5 linked regions of the Macaca fascicularis genome follow. The main gene of each other region encodes a partner of the protein of the gene in region 5 in a complex. Links are inferred from orthologs where the notes say so. Each region holds a gene or a part of one and is shown on either strand. Other genes may lie near its edges. The genes, in order: PAK1, MAP3K5, DCP1A, DAB2IP and ARHGEF6.

Region 1 (3,516 bases), on a different chromosome or scaffold from region 5:
GTTTCTGTCTCAGAGTCTTTAACTTCTTCCATCTGCCAGGAATATCCTTTTCTCAGCCCCATGGCTTGCTCCCTTAATTCATTCAGGTCACTGTTATATGACATCTCATTAGAGAGGCTTGCCCATGCCTATGGTATCTAAAATAGTGTCTCCCCACCCCCCCAACCAATCTCTGCTCCTATGTGGAGCAGAGACTTTGGTGATTGTTTTTTACTCTATTCTCTTCTAGAATGTAAGTTATAGAACCAGAGGCTTTATCCGTTTTATTCTTTATTTAGCCCCAGAGCCTAGAATGGAGCCTGGCACACAGTGAATGGATGGATGGATGGCTAGATGGGTAGATGGATGATGAATAGTGGAATGTGTGGCTTTTGTTTGAAACAGAGATTTGTGATTATTAGACATAATGATAATTTAATTGATTCCTTACATCTTTCTAGCTCTTTACCATTTTCAGTGATTTTATGTTCACTTTGCCTCATTTCATCCATTTAATGGCCCTCTGAGGTAGGCAGAAAGCTGTAGTCATTATCCCTATTTTATATATTAAAAATGTGAGACTTAACTTAGACCCTTGCCCAAGGACACAGGGCTAACAAGTAAAAATCTAGGTAATAACCTAGACCTTTCTCTCTCTGACAGATGTTATTATCACTGCCCAAAGCTATCACCTATGGAAGACAGAATCTTTTACTGAGGAAGGTGATGAAATCCCCTTCTCTACAGTTTTATAAAGCAAACAAACCTAGTGTTTATAGTATACATCAGGGGAGCTCCAGGGCTACCTGATGATGAAGAGCCTTGCTGAGTCAACTTTATTCCCACATTAGGTTTTTAGTTAAATTTTGTTGACTAGTGGGGAGAAAATAAATTAGAGCAGAAAAATATCGAAATACATATTTTGACAGGGAAAGAACCTCTCTTGAGTTTTGGAACTGAAAACGATTTAAGGTCATCCCTCAAATTATAACACTCCTCTTCCTTCACATTCCTCAGGTGATTAAACTTCAAACCAAGAAGACAGATTTATTGCCTGTGGTCACAACTGCTTATATATGCCCAGCACTGTCAGTTTTTAAGTTATGCTTTGTGCTGGAGGCCCTGTTAAAGTCTATGAGAGTGCCAGTTTTTCCTACTTTTGTATGTCAAATGTGGTAAAAGACAGTCTTCCACAGTCAGTAGCTCTAGTATATTATTCCTTAGTTCTTCCATTTATCCCGTTATTCTGACTCTTGACCTTCCTCTTAGGAGGCTCCAGGTGTCAGGCAGGAGGGGCTCTCATCCTCTGTCTATCTCCTATACCAGATGGTCACTACTTTAGGACATGGACCATCTTTTTCATCTTTGTACATTTATGTCAACAGTATCAGTCTTACTGAGCACAAAGTAGGTGCTCTGAAAATACCTGAAACTATTGAATTATATCAGTATATATTAAAAGATCCCCATTGCCTCTCTGGTTCTTTGCTGACCAAATGATAGAATCATTTGGTCTCTATCAAAAATCTCATGTTTTGGAGGCATTTTGTCTCTTAATTCTGTGTAATAAACAGTAATGGTATGCTATTTTTGCCTGGACCTGCCCTAAAACCTGCCACTCTTGGCCCAGCTCTGTTACAGTTTGCATGGGGAAATCAGGTTGTCACAGATTGTGAGCAGATCTAATTAGTGATAAGTTCCATTCCAGGGTAGGGCGGAAGCTTAGGGAAATAGTATCCAGTCTGGGGAGAAATTCATTGTTCTCTTTAGACAACATGATCCTGATGCTGATGTTCTTTATCTTCAGGTTGAGGTGAGGACCCCTGGTGACGTAATGGGTCCAGGAAATTTTTGCAAAGAGAGGAAAAGGACAGGGCAAAAGCCTGTTTAGACTGCCATTTACCATATCAGGAGAGAGTAAGAAATTATAATGATGAATTTTGAAAAATTAGAAACTTTTGATCCCTTCCCTACATTTCATACTTTATTTCCTATTCAGTATGGAGAGCAAAATTCATAGAATAAGAAGGTACTGTGAGCTTGTCTTCAGGGGTTGGGTTGGGGGAGAGGCAGGTAGAAAAGCTGTAAGCTAGCTTCCCATTCACAGTTAGGCTTTGGGTGGGAGAAGGAAGCTCCAAGGGATTGAGTGGATATGATGGCTAAGAGAAGAGGGAGAAACAGATTGAGTTTCTGAGACTAGCTACATGGAGGTGAGAGCTTGGAGGCTAATGTGGATTTCAGAAGGGGTATCAGGTTGGGGTTTCTCCCTGGGGGGTTTGGTGATCCTGATAGTTAAGTTCCATGGCAGCTGGACCAGATGCATCTTGCTTTTCTTCTTTGCACAGAATGTGAAGGCTGTGTCTGAGACTCCTGCAGTGCCACCAGTTTCAGAAGATGAGGATGATGATGATGATGATGCTACCCCACCACCAGTGATTGCTCCACGCCCAGAGCACACAAAATCTGTGAGTCTTTGGGACCTGGACAGTTTTGTGATTTATTAGAGTAAGTGGGGAGAGGGAGGAGTTGGTGCTAAGACCTAGAAATTTAATATTCTGGTAGGGGTCCTTAGATTTTGGAGCTGGTGAAATCACTGAACTACCTTGACTAAAGGTACTTTCTGTATGATTAAAGACAAAAAATGGTGTATTTATTTATCATCGGTTTGTAGATAGTCCCAAAGTGTCCTATGTAATTGATGTTTATACCAATCCAGTCTTGGTTTGCTTAGCCTGTTCTCCACAGATAGGACAGGAAGATATACAGGATTGATGCTACTTAGTGCAGGACAAACATAAATTATTCCAGTCTCCAGGGAAGCAACAAATTGTCTTGCTACAGATCTTTTCTTCTCTGTTAAATATGCAGCATTGAGCCTCTTAGAGCATTATCGATAATACTGAAAGACCCAAGAGAATTTATAAATACATTAGCGCTATTAATATGCTGGGCATCAGGAGTGCATTTTGATGCCGGATGTTGGCAATGATTTCTGTTTAACTTTCTTTGAAGTTCCTGCATCTGAGAATAGCCATAGTCCCTCTACCCTTGCTTTGAAAAATCTAGTCCCCGTGCCTTTTACTTAATTTGGCATCACTGAGCACTGACCTGCCATCAGATGATACTCTACTAGTGTTTCTTTGTTTAGGTCCATAATGAAGGAATCATCTAGCACTTCTGTGATCTTGAAAATAAATAAATAAATAAATAAAAAAGGGCTACCTCTGGAATACGGCATTCAGGGAGGTGTTCGAACAGAAATTGGTTGAGTGACTATTGGAGATGCTGTGGAGGAAATTCAAAGGAATTATATGACCTTTTAAGATGAGAACTTATAAACAGAATCTGTGGAATCATTTTCTCTGTAGGTCACAAAGTTACCTTAAGGGAAAATGGGCTTCAAAATTGGAGAGTTGTTAACACTGATATGTTTTTTTTTTATTTGTAGGCATGTTCATTTAAAACATTTTTTTCCCCACTAAACCATGAACACCTCAAAAAGTAGAGGAAATCCATATATATGTATTTCTAGTGTTT
Region 2 (3,406 bases), on a different chromosome or scaffold from region 5:
CAAGTTACAGCTGAATAAATTTAAACAACTCCAGAATATACATTCCTCTAACTTAGGCTCAAATCCCAATTACGGAATAGTAATTGATAATCTACTAAATAATTGCCCTTTCTTATTTGATTTCAAAGCTTCAGGACAGGTGCAGTGGCTCCCGCCTGTTATCCCAACATTTTGGGAAGCATAGGCAGATTGCTTGATGCCAGGTGTTGGAGATGAGGCTGGTCAATATAGTGAGACTTTGTCTCTCTATATATATATAAAAAAAATAAAATTTAAAAATGTAAAGGTGCAGTTCAAATTAAGATTCTGCTTTTATGGTGAATTACAGTCAAGTGCCTTTGCTTAACCATGAAAAAGTAAGTTCAGAAATTAAGCATAGGCAACACCTTTCCAGGAACACTTTTTATCCACTTGAGAAAAAACAAAGCTACATAGCATTGAACTTCTAAATACAAGATTTGTTTTTGAACAGCAGATGTGATTACAAGTGAGTCTCATCTGTTCATTAGAAGACCATTCAGAAGTTCTGTGTCACTTGTAATCTTTTTGCATTTGGAAGTTAATATGGATGCATTTGTATTTTTTTTTTGTATGGAGTCTCACTCTGTCGCCCAGGCTGGAGTACAGTTGTTCAATCTCAGCCCACTGCAACCTCTGCCTCCTGAGTTCAAGTGATTCTCCTGCCTCAGCCTCCCAAGTAGCTGGGATTACAGGCACATGCCACCACGCCCAGCTAATTTTTTGTATTTTTAGTAGAGATGGGGTTTCACCACTTTGGCCAGGCTGGTCTCGAACTCCTGACCTCAGATGATCCGCCTGCCTCAGCCTCCCAAAGTGCTGGGGTTATAGGTGTGAGCCACTGCACCCAGCCTGGATGCATTTATTTGTATTTATTGAGTAATAGGGAGGCCTTTCCCCTAATAATCACAGAAGATTGTGTTTTTAGTAATTTCATTTTTAGATTCATTTTTAATTATAGTCAAGGTTTACATTATAAATAGAGTTTGTGCTTTATTAAAGTTATATAAAACATCTTACTTTTGTGCATATTCTACTTTCTCTACAGTTTTTGGCTGAAGATTATACACTATTGGATGTTCTCTACTATGTTACACGTGATGACTTAAAATGCTTGAGACTAAGGTACCACTTTTCTTTCTGTTGTCACGATAGAAAGAGTACCGGGCTAATATAAGAAAGTCTGAGTACCTGCCCAGGCTGGGTCTCTAATTAGCTTTGCAGTTCTGGACAGAGCTCTCTAGTTCTTAGCTGCTCTGAGTAAACTGAGTTAGTTGGACCATTCTATTTTTGAGGGCTCTAATAACCAATATTTCTATATTAGTAAGTGAAAATCAACTGGAAGAATTTTTTTGAATAATATGCAGACTAAGTCCATGCAGATATTCTGAAGCTGCCTTACACAAATGCTTTAATTGAGTTCATGATGGTGTTATACTCAATAAATATTTGGAGGAGGTGCTGACTTGCCCTCCAAAAGCCTGGTATAATCTGATATAATTTATTATTAATTAAGGCCAAGCATAGAACTTTTTTTTTTTTTCCGAGATGGAGTCTCGCTTTGTCACCCAGGCTGCAATGCAGTGGCGTGATCTTGGCTCACTGCAAGCTCCGCTTCCCAAGTTCACGCCATTCTTCTGCCTCAGCCTCCCGAGTAGCTGAGACTACAGGTGCTCGCCACCATGCCCAGCTAATTTTTTTGTGTTTTCAGTAAAGACAGGGTTTCACCGTGTTAGCCAGGGTGGTCTCAATCTCCTGACCTCATGATCTGCCTGCCTCAGCCTCCCAAAGTGCTGGGATTACAGGTGTGAGCCACCACACCCAGCCCAAGCAGAAAACTATTATACCCACCATTATAAAGACAAATTTCAAAAATGCTGAAAATCTGAAATGATGTTTTGGGACACAGCAGTTTGTGGGAGTGAAAAGAGAAGGAATGGAGGGAAGATGAGAAAATATATACAAAAAGAATACATAATAACTGATCAGACTTTGGGATCTTCTTCTGACCAGAGCAGATGAAAGCTAAGAAGTCACTTTTCTATTTCAAGGGCAGTGTTTCAAATGAAATGTTCTTTTCACCATGTTCTTGTGTCTTTCAACAGGGGAGGGATGCTGTGCACACTGTGGAAGGCCATCATTGACTTTCGAAACAAACAGACTTGACTGTTGCTCAATTTAATCTTCAATGGAAATTCTAAAAATTAATACAGATCTGACCTTCTTGGGGGTGGGAAAATCGAAGGGAGAGGAGAAAGGAGCTGCACTTTAAATCCAGTATTTGTTTACTCACGTTAAAAAAAAAAAAAAACAGACAAAACACACTGAAATTTCCTAACTACATCTATTTCTATAATTTTTAAGGACTCTTCATAAGGACTCTTAAAATAATCCTGAACATTAGAACCCTAACGTTCAGGAAGATTTTAATCTAAGCATTTTTATGGAAATATTTTTAATGCAGCAGCTATTGCACTTCAGCCAAATGTTTATTTCACACAAAACGGATGTAACATTTCATGTGATTGTGCACCACTGGAACAAAACCAAAATGTGACCATAACTTTTTAGGCTTCTGTGTGTTTGTAATATGCTCTAATAATCTGAGTAGAAATGCATAATTTCAATTACTGTATAAAGTTTATGTTTTTTTAAGTGTGCAGAATCTGAGAGCAATGGTTTTTACTTCTCTGTGTTAATTGTAATATTGACTATATTTTGTAACTTAAGTTTCTGACCTGTCGTACATTTGTTTGAGTCGTTTATGTACTACTGAACTGTACCAGTTGCACATGCTTGAACCGTAGTAACGTTAGCTTGTTCTAAAGCTATCCATTGTGTCATATTTACTCTAAAAATTAAAAAGACTCTCAACATACTGTTTTGATAACTTCTAAAGAATTCTTATTTTGTATTGACAAACTAGATAGTCTGCTGTGTTAAATTTCCAGTCGTTTCTCCAGCTATAACATTTAGTAAAATCTGTCTTCTATTCAAGCAGTCAGACAACTGACATCCAGGTTGTTCCTCAGGGGAATGGAGGTTTAAGAAAGGGTAAGCCTGGGCAACAAAGTGAGACCCCATCTCTACAAAAACTCAAACATTCAGCTAGGTGTGGTTGTGCACACCTGTGGTCCTAGCTACATGGGAGGCTGAGGCAGGAGGATCACTTGAGCCCGGGAGGTTGAGATTGCAGTGAGCCATGATTGTGCCATTTCACTCTAGCTTGGGCAACAGAGTAAGACCCTGTCTCAAAAAAAAAAAAAAAAAAAAAAAAAAGAGGGTGAGGAAAAAAAGAATAAAGGGAAGTATATTTTTCTCAAGGCCCCAAGTTATCTTGGATGACTATTGTGTATCTTAAGGCGTCTGCAAAGACCATCTTAATGGA
Region 3 (3,516 bases), on a different chromosome or scaffold from region 5:
GAAAAGATAATACATAGACTAGCTCTGTAAAATAATGTTTTTCATTACCTCTGTTGTTTTATTACTGCATGGGTGGTTGTCTTTTATGACTGGTTCTGTCCTCTTTCCCAACCCCTAGAAGTTCTAGATTTTGTACAGTGTCTTGTTTGAGAGTTCTTTAGAAAGCTTGGATTATGCATAATGGCATATTTTTTATTTTTAACTTATTCAAAAATTCATTATCTTTAAGATTGGTTTGCAAATTGCAACTGTTTTGTTAGGCAGCTTCTGGGGCCTAAAGACAACTGACAGTATATGATAGTCATGGGGTGCTTGTTTTCCTGGATTCCTCTAAGGTCTTACTCTGACAAGGACAGGTTCCTTCCCTTGTTTTCTAAAGCTTGAGTCAGCAGGAGTTATTACTGGTATCTGGTCTTTTCCCTTTTTTTTTGCATTGAGTTGCTTTTTAAGGATTGCCTTTCTCCATTGATGCCAATTTAAAATAATTTGTCAAATACTCTTCCAAATTTTGATACAAAGCCTTGAGATCTTATCTAAATGCACTCCATTTTTTTCTTCTTTTAAGTGTAATTCTTTGATATTTGTACACCAAGCTCTTCTTTCTTAGACACTTTGTTTGTTCGCTGCTATACATCTTTCTTCTTTTAAAAAGAAAGGGATCGGCCAGACGCAGTGGCTCACGCCTGTAATCCCAGCACTTTGGGAGGCCGAGGCAGGTGGTTCACGAGGTCAGGAGATAGAGACCATCCTAGCTAACACGGTGAAACCCCATCTCTACTAAAAATACAAAAAAATCAGCTGGGCGTGATGGTGGGTGCCTATAGTCCCAGCTACTCGGGAGGCTGAGGCAGGAGAATAGCGTGAACCCAGGAGGTAGAGCTTACAGTGAGCCGAGGTCAAACCATTGCACTCCAGCCTGGGTGACAGAGCGAGACTCTCATAAAATAAATAAACAGATAAATAAATAGGAAGGGATCTTTACCCTCACTCCCTTCATTACTCTTCATTAGCAGTATAAATCTCTAGAAACTCTGTTATTAGAACCTTAGTTTCTATGATATTTGGAAAAGGTACTTTACTGGCTTTATTGTTATCATACAGAGGCACTGATTATAGAAAGTAGGAGATTTAGTGTAGTGGTGGCTGGATTTAATACAATTCACAGAGTCTAATATGGTACTGATTCTAATTAAATGAGACGCAAGAAACTGTGTTTGGAAAATGTGAGACTATTTTGTGTACCTTGGATAAAGGTATACCAAGATGTCAGACTATCACTTTGCAGAGATTACTTCGTATAGTAGAAGCTTGGATTTGGAGTCAAAAAACCTGAAACTGAATCCGAATTACATTATTTGTAACTCATTATTTGTGTGACCTCAGGCACAGTCCTTAATCATTCAAAGCTTGTCTTCTAGTCTGTAGAATAGTGTTAACACCCCATATATATCGTAGAGAAACAAACGAAAAACTATGAAATGTTAGGTACATGTGAAGAGTAAGGGATCATATACCGAATCCCTCTGATACGGGAACCAAGGATGTTTCCTATTGTAGGATTCAAGGCATTTTCTGTCTAACTCAGGAGCACTATGTAAAGATCTGTTTGGTGCAAGAAAAACCATTATTGTAATGATGGGCAGCCATTATAGCCAATCCAATGGAATGATATTTCATTCAGCAACTGTGTGTCTATATTGGGATGTATGTGTGAAAAAAGTAAGACAAAAGCTCCATTTGCATGGGGCTTACATCCTAGTGGGGGCAGGACAATAAATATTAAAAATAAGTAGTATGGATAAAAGAGAAAGGTTAGAGGTATTGAGCTTGGGAACATTAAAAAGGGTAGTTCAAGTAGGCCTCATGAAAAAGGTGACATCTGAACAAAGGCTTGCAGGAGATGAGATAGCTGTGCAGCTTCTGGGGCCGTAATCCAGGAAGAGGTCTTTAGGTAGAAGCACACATGCAGAGAGAGTGGCAAGGAGCCCAGTGTGGCTGGAGAGGAGGAGGTGGGGAAGAGCCATAGGAAATGAAGTTAGAGGGGGAATACATCAGGTGGGGCCTTGGTGGCCTCAGTAAGGACTTTGACCTTTACTCTGAGAGACTGTCTTTGGAGACTTCTCATCAGAGGAAGAATATGATCTGACTTAAATGTTTTGTTTACAGGTGTAAGTGCTTGATAATATTGTATGTTCTAACGTACTCTTTTCTGAAATGAAAATAAAGCACATAGTAGATAACATTTCTACAGATTAAATGGTAACTGCATATTTTTTTTTCCTTCTATTAAATCTAAGGTCAGCTTCCCCTTACCATGGTTTTACCATTGTGAATCGACTAAATATGCACAATCTAGTTGAACCAGTGAATAAAGATTTGGAATTTCAGCTCCATGAACCATTTCTTCTGTATAGAAATGCAAGCTGTGAGTATATCTGTTTTATTATAGTTATTACATTTAAAATCGAGTGACTTTAGTTTCTATCAATCCATTATTTAGTAAGTTTCAAATTACAAAACAAAATATGGCCTATACTTTATGATTATAAATGAGTCTGTTAGAAAGATCAGACGTTTTAAACTGGGCTCTGAGACCAGACGTGGTGGCTCACGCCTGTAATCCCAATACTTTGGGAGACCGAGGAGGGCAGATTACCTGAGGTCAGGAGTTCGAGACCGCCCAGGCCAACATGATGAAACCCCATCTCTACTAAAAATACAGAAAAAAATTAGCCGGACTTGGTGGTGGGCACCTGTAATCACTTGAACCTGGCAGGTAGAGGTTGCAGCGAGCCGAGATCGCGCCATTGCACTCCAGCCTGGGCAACAGAGTGAGACTCTGTCTCAAAAAAATAAATAAATATACTGGGGTCTGAAACTAGAAACATTCTTTTGTATATAATTTTGTTTACTATTTCATTTACTAGCACTACATTTATGTTGTTGGTTTATTAAAATAAGGTTTATGCCTTTGTTTTTTTGCAGCTGTGGACTATCAGCTGCCCACATCCCTGAGCAACAGAACTTAGTTTGGGACACACAGGATGGGAGCAGATACAGATAATTCTTTCCACAAAGAAAGTATTATTTTTGCCCAGAATAGTGGTGGTGGGGTTTTTTTTAAAGATATTTATTACTTTTTCTACTTTATTTTGTCTGAATATGTTTCTAAGTAGGGTTTTTCTATCTGTTTATTTAATTGAGTGTCTGCTGGTTACCAGCACTGAGCCAAGAGCTATGGTGCTTTAATGTTTGTAACCTATGTGCTATAGGGAGGCAGTTAAGTCAACTAAGACTCAGAGATGCAAAACTATTACTCTGTTGGAGAGTTAGGATTATAACTCTTCTGCTTTTTAGTCCAGGGTTCTTTCAGGCATTTTTACAGCCTCTAATAATAATTGGATGCAGTCAGCAAAGCTAGATTGGCCCTTCCAAGAAACTACAGTACTAAAAAGTGTACTTGATTCCAGTGTGTTGGTATGGATATTGAAGGTATGGGTGTTTGAGGACAGTTTG
Region 4 (3,516 bases), on a different chromosome or scaffold from region 5:
AAGGCAGGCTTTTAAGCAGGGGAGGGTGCTGAGATCAAGAACCTGCTGAGATCAAGAACCTGGGGTTAGGGGAGCCTAGGAGGGGCCAGAGATGCAGGTCTGCTGAGTCTTGCATTGGATCTGTTCGGTGAATGTGCCAAGCGAAGCCAAGCAGAGTCACAGGCCAAGAGTTTGAAGTGGGGGGTGCGGTGGACAGCCCTTGAGCGGCTGAGAGGCAGCCGGGCCCGTGAGTTCTGAAAAGACGGACCTGGCGTGTGGCCTGGGCAGCCAGGTTCCCACTGCTCTCCATCTTTCCTGGCTCATCTGCTGCTCTAGCCAGCTCTCCCAGGCCCATGAGCATTGCAGCCCCGAGTGGCTGCTGCTGCCCATCTCAGGGAGTGGCGCTTCCTTGCCATCTGAGGCTAAGCCAACCCATTCCGCATTCCAAGCCATATCAACCCCCCCAAGTCCTTGCTGCCTTCAGTTCCCCCCACCCACGTTCTTCTCTCCAAAGCCCCCCCGGCCCCCACCACAGTTATGCTTTCTTCCAAAGGAGCTAGCTTCTGGGGAGGGGCCAGGGAGAGGCCAGAGAAAAGCGTAGAGTGAGGAGGAGGCCAGGGCAAGTGCAGCCCTCCCACCGAGTCATGCTCTCCATGGAGCCTGCTCTCATTCCTTGTTTTTGCCAGGAACTCCAGCCCCCGCCTGCCAGTCAAACAAGGGAGCGGCAGCAGGAGGCTGGGCAAGAGGAGGTTTCACCGGGCCCCCACTTCAGTTACCAGTCTGATTAGGAACAAGAGGGAAGAGGCAGAGGGAACCCAGTGACTCTGAAGTTGGAGTTCTCAATGCAGGATCCGTGGATAGCAGAGAGCCACTGAGTTGTGGCTTAGGGCTTAGCTAAGGAGGAGTTTTCCAGAGCAAGCCAGGCCCCAGTACCCATTGTCCCAAGATGCAGCTGAACAGGGAAGGGGTCTTCCAGGCAGCGCGGCCTGAAATGTGCAGTGCTGGCCCCTAAAGAAGAGGTTCTGTGCAGGAGCAGCCGCCTCAGCCTCTGGTCCCCGGATTCTCCCACTCCTGTTACCCGAGCGCATCCATCTCCCCAGCGCTGGCTTGGGCTGCCAGGCCCCGGCAGGTTGGTGGGTGCTGTCGGTTTGGACCCGCCTTGGCTGCACTCACAGTTCTTCTTTTCCCCTTCTTTCCCTGTGTGTGCTTGTCTCCCTGCAGTCTGATAGATTTCACCCGGTTACCGTCTCCAACCCCCGAAAACAAGGACTTGTTTTTTGTCACAAGGTCCTCCGGGGTCCAGCCCTCACCTGCCCGCAGCTCGAGTTACTCGGAAGCCAACGAGCCTGATCTTCAGATGGCCAACGGTGGCAAGAGCCTCTCCATGGTGGACCTCCAGGATGCCCGTGCGCTGGATGGGGAGGCAGGCTCCCCAGCGGGCCCCGATGTCCTCCCCACAGATGGGCAGGCCCCTGCAGCTCAGCTGGTGGCTGGGTGGCCAGCCCGGGCAACCCCAGTGAGCCTGGCAGGGCTGGCCACGGTGCGGCGGGCAGGCCAGACACCAACCACACCAGGCACCTCCGAGGGCGCGCCAGGCCGGCCCCAGCTGTTGGCACCGCTCTCCTTCCAGAACCCTGTGTACCAGATGGCGGCTGGCCTGCCGCTGTCACCCCGCGGCCTTGGCGACTCAGGCTCTGAGGGCCACAGCTCCCTGAGCTCACACAGCAACAGCGAGGAATTGGCGGCCGCTGCCAAGCTGGGAAGTTTCAGCACTGCCGCGGAGGAGCTGGCTCGGCGGCCCGGTGAGCTGGCACGGCGACAGATGTCACTGACTGAAAAAGGCGGGCAGCCCACGGTGCCACGGCAGAACAGTGCTGGCCCCCAGAGGAGGATCGACCAGCCTCCGCCCCCACCCCCGCCGCCACCTCCTGCCCCCCGCGGCCGGACGCCCCCCAACCTGCTGGGCACCCTGCAGTACCCAAGACCCTCAAGCGGAACCCTGGCATCGGCCTCACCTGATTGGGCAGGCCCCAGTACCCGCCTGAGGCAGCAGTCCTCTTCCTCCAAGGGGGACAGCCCAGAACTGAAGCCACGGTCAGTGCACAAGCAGGTCAGTGCCACTAGTCAGAGGGCAGGGCTGGGCACTTGGGCCCAGCTGGGCTGTCATACCCCATACCATCCTCCTCCTCTCAGTCATTTCACCTCCTCCCTCACCCAGCTGCCATCCCATCCCACCAGCCTGCCACATGCACCACCACCCCCTCCCCCTGGCTTCTTCCTGAATCCTGTGAACCAGGGACACTGTAGCCTTGGGGAACTCCAGGCCTTTCTGTCAGTGCCCCTAGGGGCAGGCTGGGGTCAGAGAGAAAGAGTGCATTCATCTTCAGTTCCAAGCCTGTCGAAGCCCTCACCCAAAGTAGGAGTCATCTTGCCCTACTCTGGCCCCACACTCCCCTCCCAAAATGTTTTCACAGGCTGGACAGACCTCCAGGCACAACCACCTGGAGCATGGATGGCCCTGTCACCCAAAGGCTGCAGGCGGTGTCTGGAGTGGAGGTGCCTTGGGCTGACAGCCCAGCCTGGCCCTGTCCTCCTCTCAGCTCAGCCTGCCCTGGTGCCCCCAGTGGCAGGGTCACTCTCTGTCCCCTTGGCAGCAGAGGGTGCTGCTCAGGAGGCCACCTGGCACCTATCGGCTTTGCCTTCGGCTACCGTCTGAGAGACAGTGTTCCTGGGTGGGGACTGCCTCTGTAGGCGCTCAGTCAGCTGGAGGACCCTTCCCTCCCCACCATGTCCCAGAGCTGCTTGTCCTTGTGGCTCACCTGGGCCACTAATGCCCTTCCTGCTTGCCCTCCTCCTCCCTCCAGCCCCTCACAGCTGTGTTTCGTTGTAGGGCCCTTCACCCGTGAGCCCCAATGCCCTGGACCGCACAGCCGCTTGGCTCTTGACCATGAACGCGCAGTTGTTAGAAGACGAGGGCCTGGGCCCAGACCCCCCCCACAGGGATAGGCTAAGGAGTAAGGACGAGCTCAGCCAAGCAGAAAAGGTAAAGCTGGACCCTGGCAGCTCGGGGCAGGGCGGGGCTGCCTCCTGGAGCAGCTGGTAGGAGTCTCTCCCCCAGGTCCCCCAGCAGTGGGTGCTTGTGTCCTTGTGAAGGGCTTGTCCCCTCTGAGCCCCTGTTCCCTGTGAGGATAGCAGTCAGTAGGGTCTGGAAGAAAAGTAACAAGAGGGATGGATTAGCAGCTTAGACCTGAGGCTTCCCATCTACAGATTGGAATCACAAGGGAATTGTCTTAGATATAGACTCCTGGGACCTCTGGGAAGGCTCCTTAGCCTGGGGCAACTGAGGCAGCTGAGCTTCCTGAGGACCTGGGGGTTGAGGGGCTGAGGGGCTGAGGGTGCCCAAGAGACATATAGAGCCCCCCTGAGGGAGCCTAGTACCTGAGGAGGCAGAGGCATGGGTCCCCAGGATGACTGGGAGAGCCACCCCAGCCTGGCCTCCGGGGCTTGTGCCTGCCCACGGCCTGGCTCTTCACCACT
Region 5 (4,235 bases):
ATTCATTCATTCATTCAACATTTTTTTTTTTTTTGAGACGGAGTCTCGCTCTGTCGCCCAGGCTGGAGTGCACTGGCCGGATCTCAGCTCACTACAAGCTCCGCCTCCCGGGTTTACGCCATTCTCCTGCCTCAGCCTCCCGAGTAGCTGGGACTACAGGCGCCCGCCACCTCGCCCGGCTAACTTTTTGTATTTTTTTTAGTAGAGACGGGGTTTCACCGTGTCAGCCAGGATGGTCTCGATCTCCTGACCTCGTGATCCGCCTGTCTCGGCCTCCCAAAGTGCTGGGATTACAGGCTTGAGCCACCGCGCCCGGCCTCAACATTTTTTAACATCTACCATGTATACCTGGCAGTCTGCTGGTAACACAGTGTTAAATAAAACAAACAAGACCCCGAGTTTAGGAAGCTTACATTCTGGTGGAGGAGTCAGATCATCATATCAACAAGTGATAATAGTGAAGTGTGACAAGTGTCCTGACAGAGCAAGAAAGGGCAGCTTTGAAAATGTTTAGTAGGGTTATCTAAGCTGATTCTTTGGTAGTAGATGCCTGAAGCTGTGTTGAAAAGAATTCTGAGGCTTAGCAGGAAAGAGCTATAAATGATCTGATGTCTCCCATGCTTGAGGAGAGGTGATGATGGTAAGTGCCACACATTTGCCAACATAGAGTTATACTATTAAAGTTGGCCTTATCATACATTTCCCAATAGTATGCCTATTTCAAGTGGTTCTGAAAATGTTTGAGAATGATGAAGATCTCTTGTTATAGACTTTTTTTTTTTTTTTTTTTTTTTTTTTTTTCAGAGCAGTATTTTGAGTGCAAAGTGTTTTTTTGTTGGGGAAATATGAATCTTCCACATTGTAGTGTAGATAGAGGACAAGTGCTCTTTTGTTCTCAAACATTCTATTTTTTCAAATGTATTTTACCCACTTATGTGACTGAGTCTGAGCCTTTGCTTAGGGTACTGCAGCTGGATTATGTAGTGGAACCAGGTCCAGAAAAAGAATTGCTAAAGAATGCAAGTAAACAGGATGTCAGATGTTATCCTTAGCCTATTTCCCTAAACATAGCTTTTTGGCTGCAAAGTAAAATGCCATTCTTCTAGCTTCTGCTTATACACAGTGATGGCTGGCAGCAGGCACAATCTTCGTTTGCTTGGCACGTTGTCACCATGCAACTCAACGTGTTTTGCAAGGAATCATCGTGACACACCATCTCTGGGAGATAGTATGAGGACATCCGGTTATTTCTTGGAAGAATTTTCTGCCTACCTTCTTTGAGCCCTGTTGTGCCAGCGTATCTCCCCATGAGGCTCAGATCTGTCTGACCTAAGAGCCAGTTGGCATCGTCCTCCTAACAGAAGCCAGATTTTCACTGGGGCTAGACTATTTATTGACAGTGTTTTCCCAGACTGGCCCATGAGTGTCTCATTTCCAAGGTCCCCTGAAGTGCTGGCTCACCTCTGTTTCCCAAAGCACTTGCTTGCTTGTCTCTCCTCCCTCCCCAGCATCCTTCTCACTTTCTTCCCTTATAACTTCTCGCACTCTGTGTGCGTGTGTGTGTGTATGCGTGTGTGCATGTGTTTTTCTTCTTCTTTTTTTATCCTAATGAGTTTGTTTTACAGGTTTTGAAAAGGAAAAACCAGTGTTATCCAGGATTGTTAGGTTAATTCTTATCTGTTTCCACGTCTTGGACCGTGATCTCTGTGGTTTTAAAATCCTGTATTTTGAGTGGGTTCCGCTGTTGTTTGAGAAAAGTTGCTTTAAACCTTTGCTCTACAAGCACCCGAAGAGAACTCATAAAAAGGAAGACAACAGCAGATGCAATCGCGGATGTGGCTTAGTCCTTGCAGCTGCCCCAGAGTGCTGTTTGGAGTGTACTGTCCTCAGTAATGAATCCAGAAGAACAAATCGTGACATGGCTTATATCTTTGGGAGTTTTAGATTCCCCTAAAAAGACCATCTGTGATCCGGAGGAGTTTTTAAAGTCCTCGCTGAAAAATGGGGTAGTTCTGTGCAAACTGATCAACAGACTCATGCCCGGCTCTGTGGAAAAGGTAAGGGAAATTTGTAGTCTCTTTGGGATTGCTTATCACCAGAGAGTAGCAATCATATAACTCTTGAGATTTTTCTATTTCCCAGGCCGTGGGAGTCTCCTACTTTAATATTTTTCTAAGAGTTAGACATTTTTTCTTACTGTTTTTGTAGTTTGAAAATGTAAGAAAATGAAATGTTGTTCTTTAGTAATTGGCCCCCAAATTGTAGTATAGGGAAAACCTGTGACACTACTGGCAATAGGGGACAAGGAGAACACTCATATCACAAGCTTGCTCTATCGTGGAGATGCATGTTACATCTCCTTGTGTACCGAGGACATGTTTTGAACTTGGGGTACTTATGAGTCTGTGGAAAAATAGAATGATTTATAACAGATCTTGGTGGTGTTTTTTGGCAGTTTGACTAAAATCAGTGTAGATTTCGTTTTACAAAAATCCATTGAAGGAGAGACTATATAGCAACTAAGAGTAATAATTCAAAATGTCACATAAAGTTTGTAAAAGCAATAGAAACCAGATATATGTTTCGAATGCAATGTGCGTTCAAAGTGAAACTAACTTTACTCTCTTTAAAACAATTCAAGATTTTTAATAGCTGGAAACCCATGATCACAAGAATAGATAATTTCTTAAGTAGGCACTTTAAGTAGCTTAAAGGTACAATTTTACATTTACTTTCTTAAGGTCATCATGGACTGTGAGTATATCACTTTTGCCTGCATGGACCAGTTTGTATTTTTATTGAGCAAATAAATTTACTTATAGTTTCTTAAACTTGAGAAAGAGTGATTACATAGTGATAAAATGTAAAGAAATGGGATCAAATGTAGAGAACAGCCAAGGGGAAATATAATTTTATTAAATTATCAGGGGGAAGCGAGGAAAGAGAGAGGTACCAGGGATTGCTTCCTTTCTTGAAAGCAAGAACTAAGCTAAAAAAACTGTCTTGGTCTCCCTAATTTGCCATCAGCACACTGGAATAGAAGGCATGAGAGAAAGCTTGTAAGTAGACATGACTTGCCACTAAAGGTTTGGTGACATTTGAAACAAAGATCGACCGTTTAGATTTTTGCATCACTTCCTTCAGTGGTTATTTCTCTTCCTGGATTGACAGCAGTGTTGCCCCATACCTTAAGAAGCCTGCTTTCTCTAGTTATCAGCAAATGATGAATATACTTTGCTTGGCATGGGATGACAATCTCCAAGTGACATTTCACTGTGTTCCTCTAGTTTTGTCTAGATCCCCAAACTGAAGCTGACTGCATCAACAACATCAATGACTTTCTGAAAGGATGTGCAACCCTCCAAGTGGAAGTAAGCCTACCCCGGGTGCCTTCCCTGTTGTTATTGTTTTTTTTGCTCTGCTAATCAAGATTGGTAGTAAAAGTACTTGGTTTATTTTCACTGTCATTGGCCACTGAGTTAAACAGAGGTAGCAGACTGGTGGTCCCCAGTAATGGATTGCTAGTCTGTCTTTTCCAGAAACCAGTTCCAAGCAAAACAAAACAAAATCAAAACTCAAACAATGATGTCTTTTATATACAGCATCCAAGCCCTGTAAACAGGCTTCCAGTGACAGAGCTTGTGTGGGTGTGTTCCCCTACTAAGGGGGAACCAAAAGCAGGCCACTGACTGTTGGAGAGGGTCACTGTAATCCTCCCAAGTTGAGAAAAGAGGAAAGGCCATTGTTACTCCTTCCCATTAACACTTTAGAACAGAGGCCTTGAAAAGCTGAGAGAACTTGGCTCTGAGGTAGAAATTGTGTAGTAAATTTTGTTGCATTATTTTATATTATATGGATCCCTACAGTGTGTATAGGAAGTGTTGCTGAAAGGGAGTTGATACTTCCACATGTGCATCAAGTTGCTTAACTTCACTGTGCTTCATTATTTTTATCTGTAAAATGGATATGCTAATAGCCAACTCATGGGATTGCTTTAAGAATCAAATAAGGCTGGGCATGGTGGCTCATGCCTTTAATCCTAGGCCAAGGCAGAAGGATTGCTATAGCCCAGGAGTTCGAGACCAGCCTGGACAGTATGGTGAAATGGTGACTCTACAAAAAATACAAAAATTAGCCAGGCATGGTGGCGTGTGCCTGTAGTCCCAGCTACTCGGGAGGCTGAGGTGGGATGATCGCTTGAACCCGAGAGGCGGAGGTTGCAGTGAGCTGTGATC

Evidence for each region.
Region 1: ARHGEF6 (region 5) and PAK1 share a complex: the UniProt entries of both Homo sapiens proteins name them as parts of the cytoplasmic complex. The link is inferred for Macaca fascicularis from reciprocal best matches to the Homo sapiens genes ARHGEF6 and PAK1.
Region 2: ARHGEF6 (region 5) and MAP3K5 share a complex: the UniProt entries of both Homo sapiens proteins name them as parts of the cytoplasmic complex. The link is inferred for Macaca fascicularis from reciprocal best matches to the Homo sapiens genes ARHGEF6 and MAP3K5.
Region 3: ARHGEF6 (region 5) and DCP1A share a complex: the UniProt entries of both Homo sapiens proteins name them as parts of the cytoplasmic complex. The link is inferred for Macaca fascicularis from reciprocal best matches to the Homo sapiens genes ARHGEF6 and DCP1A.
Region 4: ARHGEF6 (region 5) and DAB2IP share a complex: the UniProt entries of both Homo sapiens proteins name them as parts of the cytoplasmic complex. The link is inferred for Macaca fascicularis from reciprocal best matches to the Homo sapiens genes ARHGEF6 and DAB2IP.

The regions. Positions count from the first base shown.
Region 1 is NC_088388.1:76,242,193-76,245,708, reverse strand, and holds part of PAK1 (serine/threonine-protein kinase PAK 1), read left to right. Parts: exon of another isoform or gene 1-642; coding exon of another isoform or gene 643-702; intron 703-2,324; coding exon 2,325-2,444; intron 2,445-3,516. UniProt on the Homo sapiens protein: Protein kinase involved in intracellular signaling pathways downstream of integrins and receptor-type kinases that plays an important role in cytoskeleton dynamics, in cell adhesion, migration, proliferation, apoptosis, mitosis, and in vesicle-mediated transport processes.
Region 2 is NC_088378.1:40,610,031-40,613,436, reverse strand, and holds the end of MAP3K5 (mitogen-activated protein kinase kinase kinase 5), read left to right. Parts: intron 1-1,066; coding exon 1,067-1,143; intron 1,144-2,123; coding exon 2,124-2,184; 3' UTR 2,185-2,896; downstream 2,897-3,406. UniProt on the Homo sapiens protein: Serine/threonine kinase which acts as an essential component of the MAP kinase signal transduction pathway. Plays an important role in the cascades of cellular responses evoked by changes in the environment.
Region 3 is NC_088376.1:116,470,813-116,474,328, reverse strand, and holds part of DCP1A (mRNA-decapping enzyme 1A), read left to right. Parts: intron 1-2,297; coding exon 2,298-2,425; intron 2,426-3,516. UniProt on the Homo sapiens protein: Necessary for the degradation of mRNAs, both in normal mRNA turnover and in nonsense-mediated mRNA decay. Removes the 7-methyl guanine cap structure from mRNA molecules, yielding a 5'-phosphorylated mRNA fragment and 7m-GDP.
Region 4 is NC_088389.1:36,204,663-36,208,178, reverse strand, and holds part of DAB2IP (disabled homolog 2-interacting protein), read left to right. Parts: intron 1-1,200; coding exon 1,201-2,089; intron 2,090-2,869; coding exon 2,870-3,022; intron 3,023-3,516. UniProt on the Homo sapiens protein: Functions as a scaffold protein implicated in the regulation of a large spectrum of both general and specialized signaling pathways.
Region 5 is NC_088395.1:142,926,489-142,930,723, reverse strand, and holds the start of ARHGEF6 (rho guanine nucleotide exchange factor 6), read left to right. Parts: upstream 1-1,419; 5' UTR 1,420-1,892; coding exon 1,893-2,057; intron 2,058-3,287; coding exon 3,288-3,371; intron 3,372-4,235. UniProt on the Homo sapiens protein: Acts as a RAC1 guanine nucleotide exchange factor (GEF).